Lonchura striata: one gene and its partner. The protein of the gene in region 1 interacts with the protein of each later gene in a pairwise test. Links are inferred from orthologs where the notes say so. Each region holds a gene or a part of one and is shown on either strand. Other genes may lie near its edges.

Region 1 (3,748 bases):
CAGAAAAGAATAAAAGGTAATAATTAGAGCAGTACCAATTTCTGCACCAAGAGTAAAATTGTGGACATAAAAAAAACCTACTAGAGTGCTTGATAGCAAGTGCCTCACTTGAATTCCTTTCTTTAGGAAAGGAGTTAAGGAAGTCTCTCTCTCATTCAATGGCCACTCTTTTCAGTGACAGAGTAACTTCAGTATGCATTGTACCTTCCACCCTACAAAGACACTTTGTGTAATTAATGTTCAACAAATTTAACTACTGAGTTACTAAGCTGGTTTACCATCATACATGCAACTTGTAAAAGCATTTTTTAGAAGAGACTGGCCATGGCAGGCTGCTTTTCATGTTTTGGATGCAATGCTCTTCTCAGTGAAAGCCTGTGGTTTCCTGTTGATCTGGGTGCTACAGTGTTCCTCTCCCGAGATATAAATGTAGCTTAGTAAATAAGCCCCTTATCTACCACAGTTTCTAAATAGATTTTTGTAAATAATATAGGCTCAGAAGTCAGTTATAGTAAGCTCAGAGCAGTTCTTTTAAAGTGTAGTGGTTTATTGCTGCACTCCCATCGGCACAGTTGGGAGCTACTCTTGTCAGGACGTTGGTACAACGAGTTTGATAAAGAGACACTTCCTGGCTCAGGCTGATCTAGGCTGTGCTCAGGTCCTAGCCCTCCTCAGCATGAGACCTACTATGTTTCAAGATGGGCAACCTGAAAGTGAATGACAATTTTTTGAAGTGCCACTGGTAAACTTGTTTGACTCAAATTTATTTTAAATACTGGTAAAGACAACCCCCTTTCTTTTCCCAAAGAAAGTTGAGAGCTTATCTGAAGCAAGTTGCTTCAGGTATTATTCTCCACTTCTTTTGGTATTTTCTAGCATTATGTGGAAACAAGAAAAAGAGATGTATTTTATAGAATGAACTGTGGAAAAATAACATTACCAGCAATCAACACCCAACCATTGTAGAAAGAAAACAATAAACAACACTTGCTGCTTTTAAGCAGTGGGAATTGTTAGGCTGTGACAATCCTGTGATGCACTAGAGATCTTCAGTAAATTTGGATTCTGTAACCCCCTAGAATGCAGTCTTTAAATTCCTATAGAGGTATTAAAAATGGAGTATTTAGAATACTGTCTGAAAACAATTACAAATTGGGATGAGAAAAAGATCTTTGTGATAAAAATGCTAATGCTGTAGACTGGAAAACTCCTTCAGTGCAAGTAAAAAATATTAACTCCTGCAACATTGCCAGTAATTGTCAGTGAAACTTTATTGTGCCATGTGAAAATTGATATGCTTTAATGCAATTTAACTTCTCAATTTAAAATAAACTGCTTTTAACTGACTTTCCTCTTACTCTGTATTTTGCAATTTTATTCTCCTTTTATGGAACACTGTAGTACTCCCCATCTGTCTTTCATTTGCTTGTAAGATTTTATTTTTAAATGTACCAAATTCTAGAAGAGGAATTTAGAAATCATGTAAGTTCATTGAGGATGTCAAATATGTTAAAACACAGTGGGATTGGTGTGACTGAAACAATGTGCAATTCATGATATAAGGAAGTTAGAAGAGTTCTGAATCCCTTCCTTTCAGACATGAAAGACATATTAACTCCACCTTTACCCCACATACTCCAACTTAACCATTTCAATAACTAAGAGATATTTTAAAACATCAGTTTTTAAATAGGTTTGGTTTAAAAATTGTTGTCTTTGGATTTTCACTGAGCCAACTTTATTTCTGAGTGTAAAAACAATCCAGACTCTACAACAGGTGGAACAAGTGAGATCAGATATTTTCAGTATAATATTTTAGATTGTTTTGAAAGGTAGAAAAGACATTACAAAATATACCCTGTAAACAGTTTCTCTAGAAAGCACAATGTTAAAAGTTTAAAAGAACTTTTCCTACCTGTAGCATTTCTGTGGATCAGGAAGTGTAGCTTTTCCTGATTACAATCTTCCATGGCTTAGCTTGGCTTCTGCATTTGAATGTTAAATATGTAAGAATGCCTTGTTTAGCTTGGGAGTTTGCATGACCTCTTAATGAGACACTGTAGTTAGTGTCATTGGGTATTAAGGCATCATGTGACTCTAGATGAAAATAAAATCCTTTAAAGTTTGCATTTAATACTTCCTATAATCTGTAACCCTTTACCTGCAAGCTGGATAAAAACCTGATAGGACTCACCGTTTCTGGCCGGGGTTAGAAGGAGAAGCGGAAGAACACGTGCCACAGAATTCCTTTCCTCCGGGACAGTCACAGCGACCACAACAATGCCCGAGCCTGTCAGTGTATTCATGCTGGGATTTGCATATTCTTTAAATTAAATCTCCCCATATCACAAACAGTGCTGGAGGGATTTGGCAGAAATTCCTCTGTTGCATGTTGCCTGGCAATGACATTTATTCCCCACTGTTTTGTGGGATTCTCTAAAGAGAAACTCAGCTCTGAGGTGTATTTGCAGGCATCGCCTCACATTTACCTTTGAAAGCTGCCGACTTTCCTGGAGTCATTTTGATTTGAACGTGGTGTTTCCAGAAGTGATATGAAAGATGTTCTGTTGCCACAGCCATTTGAGAGAGATTTCCCTGTACAGGAGGAGAGGTTTAAGTTAGGCAAGCACCTGGGTCATGTGTGATCTTTAAGGTATGTCGATGTACCTGGAAACTGTGAAACAACCTCCGGGAGAGAACTGGCACTAAGATTGCCTGTGTCGCAGCGGGGGCGTGGGGGGTGCAAAGCAGAGCTAGCAAAGCCTTCTCGATACCCTTAGGGTGTGGTTGTTGGTGTTTGGTTTTGTTTGCTTGTTTGGTTTTGTGGGTTTTTTTTTTTTTGTTGTTTTTTTTTTTTTTTGTTGTTTTTTTTTTTTTTTAATTGGTGTTAAGCCTCATGGAAGCACTTAAATGAAGTTTGGCTGCTGCATGGAGTAGGCGTTCTGTTCCCACTCTAAATAATGCCGGATATACAGTTGCCTCCCTGCCTTGCAGGGATTGTATCCTCGCCTTCCCTGTGCAAGGAGGGTGTTGGATTTAAATCACCAAGGGCTTGCTCTGCCCTGCCGTGCTTCCCCTCGTACCCTCCGCAGGGATCGAGCTCCGGTCAGCAGCGGGCTGGGGCAGGCAGGTCCCGTGCCCGGAGCCGGGACTCGGATGCGCCGCCTGGCCCCAGCCTGCCGCTGCGGGAGCCAGCACACACAGGGGCAGAAACGTCATGTGCCAACATAGAAATGAATAAAAGCTGCTTTGGACATTCTTATCTTGAGCAGACAACTAAGTCGTAACGTGAAGACTGCATCATTTGCAATCTATGAGCTAGCGTGCTGCAAAGCTCTGCAACAGGTCCTTGGCACATTTTAAATATTTTTCTCCTGCAAACCATTAGTTTTAGCTGAAAATGGACTTGAAGAGCCAGGAAGTTTTAGTACAAAGCCTTCACTAAACTCTCCAAAGGCTTTCTGGTCAGTAAATAAAGGATTGTCATGCTAACCTACCCCCACGTTGTGAGGGAAGGTGATGGAGGCAGGAGGTGCAGACAGTTGAGGGCTGCCCTGCAGCGCGGATCTGCAGCTGTGAGCAGCCCTGTGCACAGTGTGTGCTCGGACCGGCCTAATCGTCCTGCCCGGCCGGAGGTCACCCCATGGCCAGCTCTGTGGTGTTTTATCATTGTTCTTATGGCTGCTGGGCTAATGAGGTGGGCTAAAAAAAATGAGGTGGGCGGAAAAATGTCCAGTCGAAAAGCTCT
Region 2 (3,748 bases), on another chromosome or scaffold:
GATTTCAACTTTTCAAGTTTTAAACCAACAGAAACATTTGGTATCAATTGGCAGGGTTTCAGCTCTGTCATCAGCAGATCTACCTCTGCACTGATGTTGTCTCTGTTCCCTTCTCCAGGCTCCATCTACCCTAGATCTGGTAAGTGCTTAGACATTAATATTCTTTTTCAGAAAAGTACTACAGAGGAACAAGGCCCAAGGCAGGGATTACAAATATTATTATTTCAGTGGTTGGCTTCTAGCAAAAATCACGGCTCCATTCCTGATATAAAAGACTACCTTACTGCCAAGAGGTTTGCTCCACTTTTTGCAGGGCGGATTCAAGAACAGGTTTCAGCTTTAAGCTGATCTGAGATCCCTGAGTTACCAGAAAAATCCATTCAAGTCCAGGAAGAAAGAGTGAGGGAAGGGAAATAACAGCATAAATTCCAGCTGAATTCAGAGGCAGAGCTTGAATCAAAATGTAAGACCAATGTGCATGGGAGGAGGGAGTGTAGGTAATTTACTACTGATGTTGTAAAGTTTATGGAAGTAAAAAAAAATTGCAGAATATGCTCTTTTAACTATACACACATCACACACCTGTCTTGGCAATTCTGTTTCTGTCATTAATGGTCACCTGAATTAAAAAAAAAAAAAATGCCCTAACCAACACATCTTTTTTTTTTTTTCTTTTTTTTTGGTCAGATGTTACTTTACCTGCCACTGTATTTTAATTATCAATTGCAATTATTTCCCATTGTATAACTCAGATTATTTGATACAAAGCTTCAAAGCTTTGTGTTTCAGTTACAGAATTACTTTCCTTCTTTTTAAAACTGAGCAGGGGTGGATTCACTGGGATTAGCATACAGATCAAGTATTAGGATAACAATCTGTATTTTAAAATCAGCAACAATAGCAAGAGATTAAAAGGCATCCTACTGAACTGATTCCACATCCCACTGATTCTTACACCAAATAGCTTCACTGCAGAGTTAATAAAAGGAATGTCACCAGCAAACAGCATTGAAGTATGAAAGTGTCTTCAAATGCCTCTCACTAGAACAGAAATGCAGTTTTCAAACATCTCCACACACGTGTAACAGTCACCTGCAGTAAAATTCACTCTGGCAAAGCAGAACTGCTTATGCATTTGGTTACTGTAAGAGCAGTTCTATGACTAATTCAGAAATGACACAGACCTGTGATAAATCCAAGATGTCTATTTTTAGAACCATATCAACTTAAAAAACAAAAACCAAGCCTAGCATGAAGTCAGGCTTCTAATCAGTCTGTGCTTTTTTTTCTGGACTTCAAAATGGAAGTGCTTTAATTTGTCCTAATACAGCCAGTCTGTGTCTCACATGAGACCCTACAGCCTGTGCTCCAGTTCCAGCAGTCAGCAACACCAGAACTGTTATACAGCGTCACTGAAACAGGTCAAGAATGCTGTAATATATAACCACAACAGCATAATATTTCTCTTTCTTTTTCACATCCTTGGGAATGTGAAAGTGAAGCCATTACTTTACCAAACACAAACAGGTATGACACAGCTCCAAAGGGACAAAAATACATTCCAATGTGCGAACAAATACCAGAGGAGAATTAGTTCCTCTGATAACAGGAACAGCACAAGGTTTCAGCCACCCAGTATGTGCGAGCTACAGGAAAAACCCCAACCCAACTCACCAGTTCAGTGAGCAACTTAATGGGACACCCCAGCCCTGACTGCTCGGTCCCCAAGGGGGGCACAGCCCCTGCGGAGGAGGAATCACAGAATCAATTAGGCTGGGAAAGACATCCAAGATCACCGAGTGCGACCTTTGAACAAACACCACCTTGTCAAGCAGACCATGGCACCGAGTGCCACGTCCAGCCTCTCCTTAAACACCTCCAGGAGCGGTGTTACCACCTCCCAGGGCATCCCATTCCGCTGTCTAATCACCCCTGCTGTGAATAATTCCCCCCTAATGTTCAACCTCCACCTCCCCTGGCGCAGGAAGGCGAAAGGAGCCGAGGCGCCCTTTCTCCCTGCCCGCCGCAGCCTCCTGACAGCTCTCCGCTCCGGGAGGACGAGCTAAAAATAATTCCCACAAAAATAAAACACATCCGGGCCCGCGCCTGCCCGCCCGGGCCGAGCGAACCAGCACCAGGCCGGGAAGAGCGGAGCGGGGCCAGGCCGCGGCCCCGCGGGAAGGGCGGGGGGAAGGACAAGCGCGGGCGCTGCCGCGGGGCCGGAGGAAGGAGTCGCCGCCCGGCCGGGACAGCCGCGCACCTTCCCCGCACGGCCGGGCCGCCCTCGGCCGCTCCCTCCGCCCGGCCGCCGCTCTCGCAGCCCCGCGGGGCGCGGCGGGCCCCGCGGCCGGAGCCGGGCAGGGCAGGGCTCGGCACCTCACCTGCCCCGGCCCGCCGAGCCCCCGCCGCTCCCGAGGGGCTTCGCCGCCGCCGCCGCGCCGGAAGCGCCCGCGAGGAGCAGCAGCAGCAGCAGGAGGAGGAGGAGGAGGAGGAAGACCCGCGGTGTTACCACACACCAGGCGTTGTCCGGAACCGCGCGCGGGGCCCTGGGGCTCGTAGTCCGCCCTCCGCGACCACAAGCCCCACAATGCCGAGCGGAGCGGGGGCGGGCCGGGGCGGGGACAGCGGCCGGGCGGAGCGGGGCTCGCGGGAGCCGAGCGCAGCCCGCCCTGCGCGGCAGAGCCGCGGCGGAGCGCGGAGCGGCGGCAGCACCGCCGGGCAGCGGGCGCGGCGGCGGCGGCAGTGCCGGTGAGTGCGCCCGGCCCTCGGCGGGGCCGAACAAAGCGGGCGGCTCCGGCTCGTCTCTTACACCCGGAGGAGCCCCGGAGTGCGGGGGTCCCCGGAGGGGCGGAAGGAGGGACGGGTGCGCCGCTGCCGCGGGAGAGGAGGCGCTGGGGATCGGAGCCGCTCGTCCGACGTGCGATGAGCGGCGAGGAGCTGCCGGCAAGCCCGGAGCCCGTCCGGAGCTCGGCGGGCTCCTGCGGGCGGCGGCGCGGGGACGCGCTCTCTCCCCGGCGCCCGCAGCCCTTGCCCCGGCGGAGTTGCGCTCGGGCGAAGGAAGCGCGGCGGTGCCGTGCCCCGGGGCCCGGCCCCGCTGTCCCGCGGGTCCCTGCGGCCGGGCAGCCCTTCCCAGCCCGCCCTGGGCTCCCAGAGCCCGTCTGCCTGCCGGCGGCTCCCGCCTGCCGAGCCCCGTCCCGGCTCAGCGCCGCGGTCCGTCCGTGCGCCCCGAGCGCTGGCCGCTCAAAGAACTAAACTTGTGCGTTCTGTGTCGGGGTGATTCCGCTCCTAGTAAGCTTTGAAGCTTCGAATTACGTTGTAGGAAGAGGTCAGCGATTAAAATTTACTATTAATACTAAAGGCAGCAACTCGGATCTACGTTGGCATTTCTGATGTGTCGCTGTTAACGCTCACTTTTTAAAAAATGCTGATCGCTTCTGCCTAATGTTAATCACACGAATTCCCCAGTGTGAGGGTGGGGATGAGCAGCTGAAGCATTAAACTTGTCAGACAGTGGCTGTAAGTTCTTGCGGAGGGTGGGAAGAGTTGGGTGCCGGTGGGAGCAGAGGGACGATGTGTGTCACCCATCCACATCTCCTCCTTCGGGCTGGGGAAAAGCAGGAAAACAGGATTGGATTGAACCTGAATTGTTGTTACACATACGTGAATTTTCTCCTTCCCACACCACCGTTTTTTGTTTTAATCGGATCGAGGGGTGATCTCTCACATATCAGCTACTCTACGCATCCTG

The links.
Region 2: the proteins of PGCKA1 (region 1) and PDCD10 interact in binary tests that used the Homo sapiens proteins (3 or more experiments, as listed by UniProt). The two-hybrid records come from large-scale screens. The link is inferred for Lonchura striata from reciprocal best matches to the Homo sapiens genes PGCKA1 and PDCD10.

Annotation. Positions count from the first base shown.
Region 1 is NC_134606.1:22,248,828-22,252,575, reverse strand, and holds the start of PGCKA1 (PDCD10 and GCKIII kinases-associated protein 1), read right to left. Parts: upstream 2,323-3,748; 5' UTR 2,195-2,322; intron 2,033-2,194; exon of another isoform or gene 1,916-2,032; intron 1-1,915. UniProt on the Homo sapiens protein: Acts as a tumor suppressor. Acts as a tumor suppressor for colorectal cancer cell proliferation by targeting KEAP1/USP17/ELK1/CDK6 axis.
Region 2 is NC_134612.1:23,939,702-23,943,449, reverse strand, and holds the start of PDCD10 (programmed cell death protein 10), read right to left. Parts: upstream 2,583-3,748; 5' UTR 2,517-2,582; intron 2,511-2,516; exon of another isoform or gene 2,382-2,510; intron 1-2,381. UniProt on the Homo sapiens protein: Promotes cell proliferation. Modulates apoptotic pathways. Increases mitogen-activated protein kinase activity and STK26 activity. Important for cell migration, and for normal structure and assembly of the Golgi complex.